Linked DNA regions of Macaca mulatta. The protein of the gene in region 2 purifies or fractionates together with the protein of the main gene of each other region. This does not show direct contact. Links are inferred from orthologs where the notes say so. Each region holds a gene or a part of one and is shown on either strand. Other genes may lie near its edges.

The links.
Region 1: the proteins of DCAF8 (region 2) and CUL4B purify together in Homo sapiens (affinity purification with western blotting; 7 studies listed by BioGRID and IntAct, counting the BioPlex papers as one, with this or other methods). This does not show direct contact. The link is inferred for Macaca mulatta from reciprocal best matches to the Homo sapiens genes DCAF8 and CUL4B.

Annotation. Positions count from the first base shown.
Region 1 is NC_133426.1:126,934,882-126,938,496, reverse strand, and holds part of CUL4B (cullin-4B), read left to right. Parts: coding exon 1-22; intron 23-471; coding exon 472-563; intron 564-1,654; coding exon 1,655-1,762; intron 1,763-2,748; coding exon 2,749-2,862; intron 2,863-3,615.
Region 2 is NC_133406.1:106,663,489-106,667,103, reverse strand, and holds part of DCAF8 (DDB1- and CUL4-associated factor 8), read right to left. Parts: intron 2,093-3,615; coding exon 1,914-2,092; exon of another isoform or gene 1-1,913. UniProt on the Homo sapiens protein: May function as a substrate receptor for CUL4-DDB1 E3 ubiquitin-protein ligase complex.

The DNA.
Region 1 (3,615 bases), on a different chromosome or scaffold from region 2:
ATGCTGTCCAAACTTAAACATGGTAGGTTTCTCATTCTTTCTGTTCCTTTTCTTTGATTTCTGAAGGAGAATGTTAGCTTCTTACCCTTTCAATCGATTTCCTCTTTTGTCAGTCGTGTCTATGTATATATGATGAAAACATAAATTGAGCAAGCTCCTGAGGTTTCCAACTTATTGTACATATATCCAGAGCTGTTGTGTTTTTTAAGATAAAGCATTGTTCTTGGTTTTATTATTTGTATAAAAGTTTCCCATTTATTTTATACCTAAATAGTAGATAAGGTTACTACAGGATTAAAGAGTTTGACTCTGAATTAATGGGGCATACACTTTGGGGTAAGGATTTCTTTTTATTCTTATGAAAGTTACAGATCATACTAAAGTAAGTTTTGTATTTCGTGTTTCCCACTTTTAAACCTCTTTTGTTTTTACCACTTTAAAATATTATACATGTACAAACATCTTTAATAGAATGCGGAGCTGCTTTCACCAGCAAACTTGAAGGAATGTTTAAAGACATGGAACTTTCTAAAGACATCATGATTCAGTTCAAACAGGTAAAAGTGAGTTAAACTCTTACTTAATTCCTCGAACTTAGTTATATTTAGTTATCCGCTTGCTGTGATTTGTACTGAAGAGGATAAATAGAAACGTGTTTGTTGTAATTACTTCATGGCAACTGAGGTGATATTCACAGTAGAAAAAAAACCATTGGTGAAATATAAGTATATTTGACCTACTTTAGGATTTATTTTTAACAAACACCCAGAGTAACACAAAAATAAAAATAAAATGTATTGAACTGAAGTCAGTACAAGAAGAGCTATAGTGGGAACAGGGCTTTCCCCAGCGTCTTATCATTTGGTGATTTGCATGTTCAGAGCTTGCAGTGGGGAGAGAGGAGAAGTGATAATGTAGCTGTATAAAGCCTTTGGGGACACTGGGGATAGAAAGCTAGATCCACAGTTTTGAAGATGTAGGTAGAAAGTAGTTTTGAAATGTTTAAGAACATAGGTGATAGTGATGGCAAGTTAGATTTTCCTCTTTTGGGGTTTTAGTAGTGACTTCTTTACCCCACAATGTTGCTAAGGTGGGAAGTGGAAGTGAAAGAATTAAGAAAAAATCAGGGTCAGTAAGATTATGAATTCTATAGTAGCTACCGAATGGGGCTTATCTGCTTTGCCCTTTTCCCCTCTTTTTCCTTCCCTACTCCAGGCCACTCCCTGCAGACAGGCAGTGGAGCAAGCGAAAAACTGGAGACTTGGGCTGGCTGGTGGGGTGAGGAATGGGGATTGCTGCAAGATGTTTAAGCCATGTAGGGGTATTCAAAGGTGGGGACTGCAGGTGGTATTGGGGAAAAGAGTGGAGGAGAGATCCTATAACAGCCCAGCTGTATGTGAGAAATTATTTAAGTTGATAATGCCTGTAATGAGGTCATGTGATCCTTGTATGCCTTTGTATCAAAATGTTAACCTCTGTACTTGCCTAATGCATTTTGTGTAGGCTTCATTTAAAGTCCTCTTAATAATTGCCTTTTATTTTAAGGATGGTCAGTGTTTGCATATAATTTCATAACGGGGAACTTCTTAAATAGGTTATTATGATACGAAATGTATGCAGTTTTAAGATCTCAGTGTGTGTTTTGATCTTACAGTATATGCAGAATCAGAATGTTCCGGGAAATATTGAATTAACTGTGAATATCCTGACAATGGGCTATTGGCCAACATATGTGCCTATGGAAGTTCATTTACCACCAGAGGTAAGAGTTACTGTTTAGAACCTGAGTTATAGGCATAGAAATCATAACATTTCCATTTTGCTTGTCATTTAAAAATAGATACTTAGAAAAAAATAGAGACCCAGGGCCTCGCTGTATTGCTCAGGCTGGTCTTGAACTCTTGGGCTCAAGTGATCCCCCCTGCCTCAACCTTCCAAAGTGCTGGGATTACAGGTGTGAGTCACCAGGCCTGGCATAGATACTTTTAAAAGTGAATGTCAGTAAACACACCAACACCAAATACCAACTGCTTTAATATTTTACTTTTGTACTTCTAAGTCCAGTTAAGAGCCTAGCTAATAATGCCAAAGTTCTGGGTTCAGGATCAATTTCCCTGGCTCTTCTTCCATCTTCACAGATTATACCCCTCATTCTACCTAGTTATTAAGAATTCTTGCACATATTTCATCCATAGGTGGGATTGCTAAATGATGGGTGCTTGATTAAATCTATCCTGACTCCTGGGAAACTGTCTAGCCCAGGACTGAAGTCCATAAAAGGGATTAAGGCTAGACAGCTAGATATTGAGAATCCTCCATGGAGATGGTTATGAAGGCCCAGGGAGTAGATCTGTCTCAAAGAGGAAGAAAAAACAGCAGAGGCAGAACTTTAGAAAAGGCTCACATTTGGCAGATGGTAGAAAGAGGAACCTGTGAAGGAAACCAGTGCAGAAGCAACAGTGAGATAAAGGAACCAGCATAGTATAGAGGCACAAAAGCTGCTGCAGGTCAATGTTTCAAAAGAGTGGATGATTAAATGGTTCAGATAGAGCAAAGGGTATAAATCCTAATAAATCCCATTTGATTTGGTGGTTGGGAGATCATTATTTTTCATCAAAGTGATTGGTGGACCTACTGGATATAGTCTTAAAATTTTCCAGAAATTATATCACATGAGGTAAGTATAAAAAGTGGTAAATGTGGTATTGGGTATAGAGCTTAAATAAAGCCTTATTTTATTTACTTTAGATGGTAAAACTTCAGGAGATTTTCAAGACATTTTACCTAGGCAAACATAGTGGCAGGAAACTTCAGTGGCAGTCAACCCTAGGACACTGTGTGCTTAAAGCAGAATTTAAAGAGGTAAGTGGATGTTCCCAAAACTTTTAGTTTTCATCTTTGTCTTTAATATTTAGGTCATCTTTCTTAACTAAAAGGTTAGGCTATTGTTTTGTGTTTTTTTTTTTTCAGACAGAGTCTCACTCTGTCTCAGGGTGGAGTGCAGTGGCGCTATCTTGGCTCACCGCAACCTCCGCCTCCCAGGTTCAAGTGATTCTCCTGCCTCAGCCTCCCGAGTGGCTGGGACTACAGGCGTGCGCCACCATGCCCAGCTAATTTTTTTATATTTTTAGTAGAGACGGGGTTTCACCATGTTGGCCAGGATGGTCTCTATCTCTTGACCTTGTGATCCACCTGCCTCAGCCTCCCAAAGTGCTGGGATTATAGGCATGAGCCACCGCGTTTGGCCAGTTTAAGCTATTGTTTTATAATTGTATCCTAGATATCCGCATGACGACAGTGAGAGCTTGTCATAGCTTTATGTATTTTTAAGTAATTTTAGCTGTGTGGTCTTTCCACAATTGATTTGGCCCTTTTGCAAAACGAAAAGCAATGAACTTTTCCCCTACTCTTTCCTCACCTGTAGATGAAAACTTTACACTGCCACTTCCTATTTTTATTTATTTATTTACTTTTAGAGACAGGGTCCCACTCTTGTCACCCAGGCAGGAGTACAGTGGCACAATCACAGTTCACTGTAACCTCAAACTTATGGGCTCAAGCTATCTTCCTGCCTCCGCTTCCTAAAGTGCTGGGATTACAGGCATGAGCAACTAC
Region 2 (3,615 bases):
TGGGCAAGTTAGAAAATAACTTCTAAGATCTTTGGTTCTAACATTCTACGTTACAATTACATTCTACTCTACATTTACAATTTGCATGATATAGAACTGCTGAGTCTACTACATTGAAACTAGTGCCTGGTGACCCCCACTGCTGGAAAATTAGGACCAAAAACAGAACAGAGGGAGCCAAGTAAAAGACCACATCGATCATTCAGCTTACACAGAGACAAGAATATGTAAGGAAATTTGCTTCAGGGGTAGCCTCTATATCTCTTATTCTACTTATTTACTCTTAGGACCACTAAAACTTAGGCCTAGGGCCCACCCATCCCAAGTAAATGCCTTCCTCACCTGGGCAAATGGGTTAATCATCAAACCCTGGCATTGGCTGAGCTAAAAGCAAACTGGCCTGCAGAATGCTTTTGGAGAATGGACAAATGCTGGCCTGGCAGAGGGCATTCAGCCCTGCATCTCTCTGGAACAGAATGCAAGGCAATAGCTTATGTCAAGAAAAAATTCACTGGCCCCTTCTGACTTCCTTTCTCTAAATGCCTATTGCATAATTCCCATTAAGACTCAAGTGTTTTGGGTTTGTTCACTGCAGATGACACAGGGGGACCTATGGAAGAGTAGGAAATGAAGCAGGGAAGAGTGAGACACATCTTGAACTTCTAGATTCCTCTCCATTTGTATTCAAACCATAAAAACCCTAGATCTATGCAGGTCCCAGGTCCCCAAAATTTAGAGGAAACCAGAAGAAAATTTGAAATACCCTCATACCAGGGCAAGAAAAACATAAGGAATGGGATCCTGATTGCAAGGAACCATTCTAAATTCTAAAACCACTCTCTGAAAAAAACTTCATCAAGAGATGGCTAGGCTCTGTAAAGTTCCCCACAGCTAAGAAGGAATAAAAAGGAAGAGAGACTAAGCTGTCTCAGTCATTCCTTAGAGGTCTTGGGTAACCAGACTATTCTAGACAATCAGTATAATTTAGTCTTTCAAACTGTCTTTCCATCTCCTGTGGTCCAAAAACCTTGTAACAGAAAGCAATTGAACTCTTTCCTAATTCTAGGTCTCAAAAATGAAAAAAAAAAAAAAAAAAAAGATAAGGTTAACCAGATACATCTAGAGAGCTGATGGCTCTTCATTCCCTAACTCGATTCTCACTCTTCCTTTTTGACCTAACTCCACAGAGGTCTGCAGAACTCAAAGGACAGGCAGACTATGATATGATCATGGGTTATACAGCAAGCAGACTGCTCAACTACTAGAAAAAAATTACATTTGCTTTCTCCTTACATATACACATTTATATGTGTTTGTTACCTATTTGAATGTAAGCATGACACTTCACCCCTAAATACTTCAACATGTATATCTTAAGTACAAGAATATTCTCCTACATAAGTAATCAAATCAAATAAATGTAATATTGAATACCATGTTATCTAATGTATAAACCATATTCTAATTTTCCCAACTGTCCAAAAAATGCTCTTTATAGTTTTTATCTGCTGATCTAAGATCCAGCCAAGATCACTACTTAGTTTAGTTTAAAGGGAAGAGACATAGAGAAATCTTTAGCCTTGTGTAGGAGGGTGTGCCCTGAACGCTAACACTTTTTCATTTGGAAAAGGTGCATGCCTAGAGATAAGTTACATCACTCAGGACAGGACAGAGGTTCTTCCCTAAGATCCCTTTCTTGTCTCAATAAACTGTGCTTTACAGGGACAGAAGATAGGAACAGGAAGAAAATACTCCATCAAAAACTCAGCACCCCCAGGCTAACTAGCCTTTTATGGCTGGTTGGACCTCTAAAACATGGTATTATGTAGTCACAGAATTCAGTGTCCCTGCTAAAACCTACCTTAATGACTGGAGAGATTAGGGAGCCAGCCAGCTCAGCATACCATACTCACCACGCCTCCCTTGTCCCCCTCCATGAACTGAATAATCTGGCAGGATGATTTCTCCCAGAGGAAGATGTGCCCACAGTCACTACCGCTCACCACAAACTCACTCTTAGGGCCATAGAAATTGACGCCTTTTACTGAAACGATAAATGAGGGAACAAACCACATGAGGGTTGGCATCAGGCCTATATATATTCATCTCAAAGGGAATTTAATTATTCACAAACTCTAAATCAGCTGAGGGCCAAATAATTATTTTCATTTTCTCAAAACACATCAAGAGATTATGCATGTTTAACAGATAGTTATAAGAATCACAACAGTCCCAGAGATGATTTATATTCTCCCAAAGAGCTCGCTCCTTAGGGCAGAGGAATCTGCAATCCTTTAGCAGCAGCCTCAGTCTCTAAGTTTATACCCTAGCAAGCAACCACAGGCCTCTCTAATCCCTTACCTGTCCCATCCTGATTCGTCCCAGCTGTGTCCACTCTTAGGCAGTACTGTCTTATGGCCTAGGATTATCTTTGATATGTGGGCTTCATTGGTACTTTGTCAATATTTTTGGGGTCATCAGTTGATCTGAGACTGATGAAGGCCACAACTGCCTCAAGAAGCAAGTCATCTGTGCTTGCTACCATTAACAGGGTTCCACTCTCCAGAATCAGTAAAAGAAGCCAAGAGTTCCAATGACTATGGTCAGTACAATATTGGCCATGAGACTGGCACCCTTCCTTTATCTGCCTGTGTACTGAGATCCAAGAACAGATTTTTCCCTCCCTTCTTACCAGCTCAGGAAAAAAACGAAAAGGAACTGCTATCTCCAAGACAAAATCATGACAGGTATCTGTTAGGAGTCGTAACAACAGAATAATGATTCCTCAACTTTTCTGGACATTAGAATCATGTGGGTAGTTTTTAAAAATCTCAGTGCTCAAGTTCCATCCCATCCCTACTAAATCAGAATATATAGGGTTAAGGCCAAACTTATTTTTAAAAGAACATCAGGATTGGGATTGGTGGCTCATGGTCAGCACTTTGAGAAGTCAAGGCAGGCGGATCACTTGAGCCCAGGAGTTAGAGACCAGCCTGGGCAACACGGTGAAACCCCAACTCCACAAAAAATACAAAAATTAGCCAGGTGTAGAGGCATGCACCTGTAGTCCCAGCTACTCAGGAGGCTGAAGTGGGAAGATCACCTGAGCCTGGGAGGTCGAGGCTGCAGTGAGCCATAATTGCATCACTGCACTCCAGCCTGGACAACAGAGTGAGATCCTGTCTCATCAACACAAAACAAAACAAAACAAAACAAAACAAAACACAACACATCAGGTGATTTCAATGTGCCCCAAAGGAACAAAACAGGCCAATCTCGGGCTAGTTACTACCACCATTCCTCCTCTTCTGCCTCATCTAAAAGAATAGTTTACTCCTCCTCCTAGAGGTGTAAGGTCACTCCCTATTTTAAGCAATTCAGGATCACTGACTAAACAGGGCTTTCCCTGACTCCCTAAGACATTGTGCTTATTTTGAAGTTACCTGAAATCTTAAAATAACAGTCTAGTCTCCTTATGTCCAAACCAATTAGAAGCAACATTATTGGAGTGGCAAGAGATGCTCTTGAGTGCATTCCCCTCTAGCATAGTGGAGAAAACATGAAAACTCCAGCCCAATTCAGGATAATCGCTCAGTGCCCATGGCAACACAGGCA